2 linked regions of the Ovis aries genome follow. The protein of the gene in region 1 purifies or fractionates together with the protein of each later gene. This does not show direct contact. Links are inferred from orthologs where the notes say so. Each region holds a gene or a part of one and is shown on either strand. Other genes may lie near its edges.

Region 1 (4,081 bases):
AAGTTTGCCAATACCAACCATGTGCCTCGCTCAGCTCCTCCTCTGTGGGCCAGGTCTGTTCCCCCTCCATTGGATCTGGGATAACCTCTGTTTGCAAAGATTCTTGTCTATCAGGGTCTGCCTTCATTAGAACCTTCAGGTCTTCCTCCATATCAGCTACAGCATCTGCAGCACAAATCTGAAAACCCAAACAGTTTACAGTCAATTAAGTGTGAGCCAAAAATCTACTAAATCTAACAAATTAGAACGATCTAGAAGAGCACAGTCCTCAAATAGAATAGAAAGCCAAAACTTGTCAGGATTTTTCAAATGGTTCTATTTTCTAGCATTCTAAATCTATAAGTCTGCTTAGCTCTTGAAGCTTTTCATAATCTGATCCCATGCCTACCTGTTTGTTACTCTCAGCCACTGTTATCCTCAGAGTTCAAGAAACCCTTTGATCTATCACTTTGCGTAGGCTCACGTTGTCTCTATTTGCTGGGATATTCTTCCATCTGTTTTCAACTTATAAAACACATTCATCCTTCTCAATACCTGGCACAAGTCAATCTCTTCTGTGAATCTTGCCAGTCTTTTCAACTTCCACTGCAAGCATGTAGCTCAACCATACTTTCTCAATCTTTATTTCACAGGTGTTTGCCATTTTTCTGACCTAATTGTCTAAGGAGAGAGACTACATCTGTGTCTATCTATAGACTCAGAGCCGATTGCTATGCAAAGCATCTACAAAGCACTGAATAAATATTTGATACATCAACTTATTTCTAGTTGACTATTGCCTTATTTGACACTTACCTCCAGGGACTAGGATATTTGTCCAAGTGTGTACCACTTTCTCTGACGTTAATTAGTTCTCATCCATGAACGTACAAAACATAGTTTTTAAGAACACCAATCTTACCTCCATTGCTGTGCCTGAGTCCTTTGAGGATCTGATCACTCTTGGATTTAAAGGGAAAGGGTCCACAGGGGCATCTATCTGCTTCATCTGGAAATCACCATGTCCAACGATATGCAGCACGCTGTTTACATTCAGAGCCTGCCCACGAACGTAGCCTGAGATCTTCAAGGTGCCCACCAAGTCACTCTCTTCACTAGGCACAAAGTCAGCAGCATGAGCAAATAGATGGGCACGCCGATCTCGAAAGGCAAGATGCCGCTGTTTTTGGTTAGCCAACTGCCTGAGCAGCATCCCTGCCTCCTGCTGAGTATCTAACAGGAGGAGTTTGTCCTCAGGAAAGCGCTTCTCCACTGCTTTACTTAGCTTTTTTCTGGCATCTATTTGTTTCTTCAGCAGGAGGCTAGAAATCCCTTGGACAGCTAACGCTGTGAGCAAAAAAGAAAAGGTTTCATGACGTTGCTTCACTATATGAAACTCCCCCTCTGCAGTTCACAAACAAGCTAATAGTTTAGTTGTGAGCCCAGACATCACTGGGCAACCCAACACTCAGTTACACTAAAGAAATTCACAATAAAACCAAACTTCATAATCTTCTCCTTTCTCTGGGCAACTGGCAGTCCAGAAATAGGCACATTGATATATGACTTGTAAATAATGGACCAAGTTAAGGCCACACATACTCGTATAACCCCCCAAAAATATCAAGCGTTAGACATAGTATCTGGCAAATTAGAGGTGAACAATAAATGCTAATTCACTTCCTTTCTTGGCCTGCAATACTTCCAACTCACTTACTATAGGTGGGAAGGCCCTGAGCAAACAGGCAAGAAAGGCAGTAATCCCCGGTGCTATCCCAGCCTTCTAGTGGATCAAGGAGGAACAGGATGGTATCAGCCACTTTAGCCATGTCTAACACAGTATGCAGATCCCCTGGAATAGAAGACAGTCAGTAGGAAAAGGTGGTTGACATCAGGACATTTTACTTACAAAGTATTACCATTAATGCTCAAAACATAATGATAGGAAATATTGTTGCATACTCTAACCTGGCCTTGCCGATGTGAAAAACCACCGATGTTTCAAGCGGGGGCATAACAGCATAAAGCTATGGGTGCTTCCCCATTCATTCAAGTGTACAGTTCCAGTGTCCCTATCCTGAAGGAGCCGAAAGGCCTCTGGCAGAGAAATCCTGTTGTGCAGGGGCACCACCAGTACCTGATGAGGAGGGCCATCCTTGCTGCCAAGCTGTCTCTTTTCTGCCAAAACCTGAGGAAAGAAAGCATCAGAGAACACCTCAATGTTTCAATACTTTTTTCCAGTACTGCATTTCCAACAGTACAGAGGCCCATCCTCAGCCTCCAAACCAGTGTCTCTCTTGCTAAAAGGTGTCATGTATGCCAAGGAGGTGGGCAGGAAGTAGGCACAAAGCAAAGAAAGCTATAGCCTGCACACCTGACACGTGCTCTAGACTTATCCTCCATCTCTGAGCCCTTCCCAGAGTCACATTTTCTAGTTCGAGGCATTACCCGCCTATAAAAGTTGTGAAGCCACACCAGTCCCCTAACCCCCAGTTCTCTCACCGCCTCCTTCTTCTGCTTTCGGAGCTGGCTGGCGCGATGCCTCTGGTCCACCCTGCTGAGATCTTTTCTCACCTTCTTGCTTAGGGTTTTCGGTGCTAGACGGCCTGGAAGGATATCAGACCTTTCTGATCTTGCGCAAAGCACTGGCAGGTCAAGAAAGGGGACCCCTGTCTGCCCTCCTTAGACCCTCTGCGCGAGGTCCAGGCCGGAAGCAGTAACTCATTCTGGGCACGAAGAACAGCAGTTAATATCGATTAAACAGCTCTTCTTCCTCCAACCCTACCTTCTTACCTTTGCCATCTCGCTGCGCGGATCCTCGACCCCGATGCCGCCCGCCTTTATGCGCTTTATTCTGCTGCTTAAGCGGGCCAGAGCGATGGGCCGCCATGCTGCCGTTCACGTGTACCAAGTCGCCACTACTTCCGGGCTGAATAGATCGCTTCCGGTCCCCGCCTCGGGGGCGTGTCCTCCCCTAGCGGGGCGGGGCTCCTCGCGATCTCTCGCGAGGTTTATTTACACACACCTCTAGGAGAAACCTCCGTGTAAACTTTTCCCAAGCTGGTGGTCTGCTTTGGGGGACTTGAAAACACCGGATGCGGGCTCGAGGCTTGGGCTTTCAGTTTCGGAGGGCCGATATGCTTCCTTGAGTTTTGATATTTTTTACGCTATCATGTTGCATCACTTAGGAAGATTCTCCATTTGTGCGATAGAGGGCTAAGCCCCTCCTCTCAGCTAGCTTTGTGCACGCAGCTCCTCGGTTGGGAGCATCAGGTGTTCTTTGTCACTTTGGGCCACCGTTTGTCGCCCTCAGTTCCCAGGTGGGGCTGCTTAAGCCTACCAAGCAAATCGTGCGGAAGGCGCTTGTCTCACCTCCAGTTTCCGTGCCAGTTCCTCCTGGTCCCAGTTACCCCAACCCGCGCCCCCACGTCCCATGTAGCTGCGAGAAAAGCCAGACGGGTCGTGACCGTGACTCTGGCGCTCTCACACCCAACCGCGCCTCTGCAGACGGGGGCGGCTGCTCTCCCACTCCTCCACCAACAAGCTTTGCAACGGAGGGCGCCCAGCCGGCAGGGGGATTTAAAGAAACGATGGTGCGCCACAGCCTTCCTCCCAGCCGGGGGACCAACATGGGCTTCCCAGTAATCAGACTCGAGGCGCGGAGGTCCCAGTCCCTCCCGTCGGGAAATCGAGCGTGTAGGAATCACGGAACATCCAGCTGGATGGGGCCAGCTTTCGCAAGAGCAACTTGCCCCTCTTAGCCGCCTGGGGGTGGGGGGGTCCAGGGGCGCGCCCCGCCTCCCCAGCCCAGCGCTGTGCAGGGCGGGCGACTGGCGCTCACAATGCGGGTTCGCGCCCTCGGGGCTGGAGCCGGCGCGTTGCCATGACAGCGGCCCATGGGGCGCGCGCCCGGGCACGCCGCCCCCAGGCACGCGCAGTCTCCCCCCCCGCTCGACCCCCCCCCGTGGCGGAGCGCACCCCCCCACCCCGCCCCCGGCAGTGGGAAGGGGCCGGGCCAGGCTCCTGACGTCTGTGCGGGGCTCGGAAGATGGCTGCGGAGCACAGCACCGGGCAGTGGCTGCGGCGGCGGCGGCGGCGGCGG
Region 2 (3,648 bases), on another chromosome or scaffold:
ACCATTCAGCATTGGGATGAGAAGTTGAAACCATCTGTGGAAAATCGATCATGGTAATATGGTCATCTTTATCCAAAATGAGATTGAATTCATTGAAATCTCCATGAATCAGTCCATGATTTGCAAGTTTAACAATTAGTTCCATAGCTTCATCATATACTGATGCAGGATCTTCAACATGGTGTATTTGACATCTGAAAGTATGGAAATGGTTAATTTGTCCTCATTCATAATTTTAATTAAAACAAGCACGGGTGTATTTACATATCATTTCCACTTCAAGCCTCTCTATTCTCTCTTCATTCCTATCTGCATATAGACATGATATGATACCTCTTATTTTAAAAAAAAAAGCTACAACCCACTCAAATCTGCATTTTCTTTCCACTACTACACACATTCTTTGTTCTGCATTCTTTATAACCAAACTCCTCTAGTTGTGCTTTCTCCAATTTTTTTCCTCCCATTCTAATGAACCCATTTCAAACAGGCTTTCATTCATCCTGCTCCAATAAAACAGCTCTTGTCAAAACTACCAATGACTTCCAAATGACTTGCCATATCCAATGGTCGGTTCTTGATTATCATAATCTGGTCTATTAGCTAATCCCTTCCCAGTCCTTGAAGCAGATCCTTTCACTTGACCCTTGGCCCACTATCTCTTAAGGCGGTCCTCTTCCTGCACTGATCATTCCTTCTTAGTCTTTTTAGCTGGTTTTTCAGCTTTTCCCTGACTTATAAATTTTGGAGCTCCTCAAAATCTAATCCTAAAACCTATTGTCTTCACCATTCTTGATCTCATTCACAGACTTCAATCTAGACTTCCCCTGAGATTCTAGGCATCTCTAACTTACCATGTCCCCAAGTGAACCTCTGATTCTGCCCCACTCTCTAACTCCCAACTGTCTTCCTGCAGCCTTCCCCATTTCTAAAAGTGGCAACTTTATCCTTCTAATAATTCATTATTCAGGACCCAGATCTTTACTTGCTACTTCCTTCTTATCAATATCCAATCTCAAACAAATCATGTAGGCCCTGACTGTAAAATTCATCCAGAATCTGGCAACGTTCCCTCACCTTCACATCTACCACTCTGATCTAGACTACCATCATCTCTTTTGAGAATTATAATAATCCTAACTTTTCTTCCTAATCCTGTCCTAGTCTTTCTTTAGTTTATTTTCAATACAGCAGCCAGAGTGATCCCATTACAGCATTAGTCAGATCATGTCTCTTATCAGTTCAAAAATCCTCCGATGGCAGGGAGTTCCCTGGCAGTCAGTGGTTAGCACTGTCACTGCCACCAAAATAATCCTCCGATTGTTTTCTGTCTCAAACAAAATAGTCCCTGTGACATTGTCTCAACGGCAGTCATGTGAGGAAACAGAAGTGTATCACATCAACCTTAAAGTTACTCAGTGTTGGGCTTCCCTGGTAGCCCTGGAAGATGGTAAAGAATCCACCTGCAATGTGGGAGACCCGGGTTCGATCCCTGTGTCAGGCAGATCCCCTGGAGAAGGGATATGGCAACCCACTGCAGAATTCTTGCCTGGAGAATTCCATGGACAGAGGAGCCGGGCAGGCTACAGTCCATATGGCTGCGAAGAGTCCCACACGACTGAGCAACTAACACTTCCACTTTCTTTCATATTTAAATATATCCTCTCTACCAAAATAGTTGGCTGCCTCTCTGATCTCATCACTCACAATTTTCTCCCTGACTTACTCAGCTCCAGCTCCAGCGGCTCCTCACTGTTCCCTGAACATGAAGGTGTGCTCCCATTTCAGGACTTTTGCTCTTTTCTCTGCCTAGAATGTTCTTAGATATCTGCATCGTTTCTTCTCTCGCTTCTTTCAGGATTCTGCTGAAAAGTCCCTTTACCAATGAGAACTGTTCTGATCTTCCCAGCCTTCCACATCTATCTCAGTATTTCTTGCCCCACTTACCCTACTCTATTTTTATCCACAGCATTTACCACTATCTGATGTATCACATAATTCCTTGTTCAGCTATTTACTGCAAGTTTCCTTCCATCAGAATGTAAGCTCTGTGAGGACAGGGACTTTGTTTATTGTGGTGCCTTGAACAGTGCTTGGCACACACTAGATTGTTAATAAAAATCCACATTGTCAGAATGAAACTGAATTTTCAATTTGCCTTTATGTTAATTTCTACTACTTTATGTTAATTTCTAACCTCCCCAAAGTCATACTCCATTCAATGAAAAAAACTCATTTAAAAAAACCTGAACCTTACAACTATTTATTGGAATTCACGGTTTTAAGAATAATAAATACTTACAAAGGATAGCCATTTATGAGTTCCATGACCACTGCATGGCGATTATAATCAATTGGCTTTGGAACCGGAAATTTCCTTTCATACAATGCCTAAAATATAGCAAAACAGGTAAAAAGTAATGAAGAGGTCATTAATTTTTAGGAAACAATAAAGTTAAATGTACCTGTCCAAAACCAGGGAAAAAAAAATTACAACCTTCACAAAATTACAGTTAACACATGACTACGTATGGCTTATTCACAGCACAGGAGGATGAGCTGTACATAAAAATAAAATTGGAAATCAGTTTTGTAATTCACTTTTTTACCAAACATTCATTTATTGAACATTTACCAAATATACACTGTGCTAGGGTTACAAAAATGAGTGTGAAAATGTCTCTGCCCTCAAGAAGTTTAGTCTCTTAGGACATGTATATCCTCTTCTATTTTGTAAGTTTCTGTCATTTACTGGAGTGTGCTTAAAAAATTCAAATGGAAATAAATTGTGATTTAGGAAATACTGTCTTCTGGTATATCAGAAAATGAAATATTTCAGTATACCGGACATTTTAGTTTATAGAGCACTGATTCTTTCCTTCAGACCACAGTATCAATCTATTGTGTGACAAAGAGTCACTGTAGTCACAAACACCGGTCAGTTTAGTTCAGTCGCTCAGTTGTGTCCGACTCTTTGTGACCCCATGAATCGCAGCACGCCAGGCCTCCCTGTCCATCACCAACTCCTGGAGTTCACTGACTCATGCCCATCAAGTCAGTGATGCCATCCAGCCATCTCATCCTCTGTCGTCCCCTTCTCCTCCTGCCCCCAATCCCTCCCAGCATCAGTCTTTTCCAATGAGTCAACTCTTCGCATGAGGTGGCCAAAGTACTGGAGTTTCAGCTTTAGCATCATTCCTTCCGAAGAAATCCCAGGATTGATCTCCTTCAGAATGGACTGATTGGATTTCCTTGCAGTCCAAGGGACTCTCAAGGGTCTTCTCCAACACCACAGTTCAAAAGCATCAATTCTTTGGCGCTCAGCTTTCCTCACAGTCCAACTCTCCACATCCATACATGACCACTGGAAAACCATAGCCTTGACTAGACGGACCTTTGTTGGCACTGGTAGTCTGAGTCAAATGTTACTACCCACCATCCATAAATTCATTTTTTTGCTATGCTTAACTTTTCTTATCCTACTGCTTTCAAAATCGTGTTGTTATTACTTCCTTCAAAATATCTTGGTTTTCTGCATTGTGCCGTTTGGAATGCTGCCATTTCTAACAGGGCTTTGTCATTGTTACCCCAACCACATCAGCAATGGTTCTAGCTCTGCACACCAAACCTTTCTTCAGTGTACCAGTA

Evidence for each region.
Region 2: the proteins of TSR1 (region 1) and RIOK2 fractionate together in Homo sapiens (co-fractionation; 3 studies listed by BioGRID and IntAct, with this or other methods). This does not show direct contact. The link is inferred for Ovis aries from reciprocal best matches to the Homo sapiens genes TSR1 and RIOK2.

The regions. Positions count from the first base shown.
Region 1 is NC_056064.1:23,192,698-23,196,778, forward strand, and holds the start of TSR1 (pre-rRNA-processing protein TSR1 homolog), read right to left. Parts: upstream 2,903-4,081; 5' UTR 2,870-2,902; coding exon 2,773-2,869; intron 2,586-2,772; coding exon 2,482-2,585; intron 2,168-2,481; coding exon 1,948-2,167; intron 1,832-1,947; coding exon 1,697-1,831; intron 1,327-1,696; coding exon 902-1,326; intron 179-901; coding exon 19-178; intron 1-18. UniProt on the Homo sapiens protein: Required during maturation of the 40S ribosomal subunit in the nucleolus.
Region 2 is NC_056058.1:94,230,337-94,233,984, forward strand, and holds part of RIOK2 (serine/threonine-protein kinase RIO2), read right to left. Parts: intron 2,392-3,648; coding exon 2,303-2,391; intron 195-2,302; coding exon 3-194; intron 1-2. UniProt on the Homo sapiens protein: Serine/threonine-protein kinase involved in the final steps of cytoplasmic maturation of the 40S ribosomal subunit. Involved in export of the 40S pre-ribosome particles (pre-40S) from the nucleus to the cytoplasm.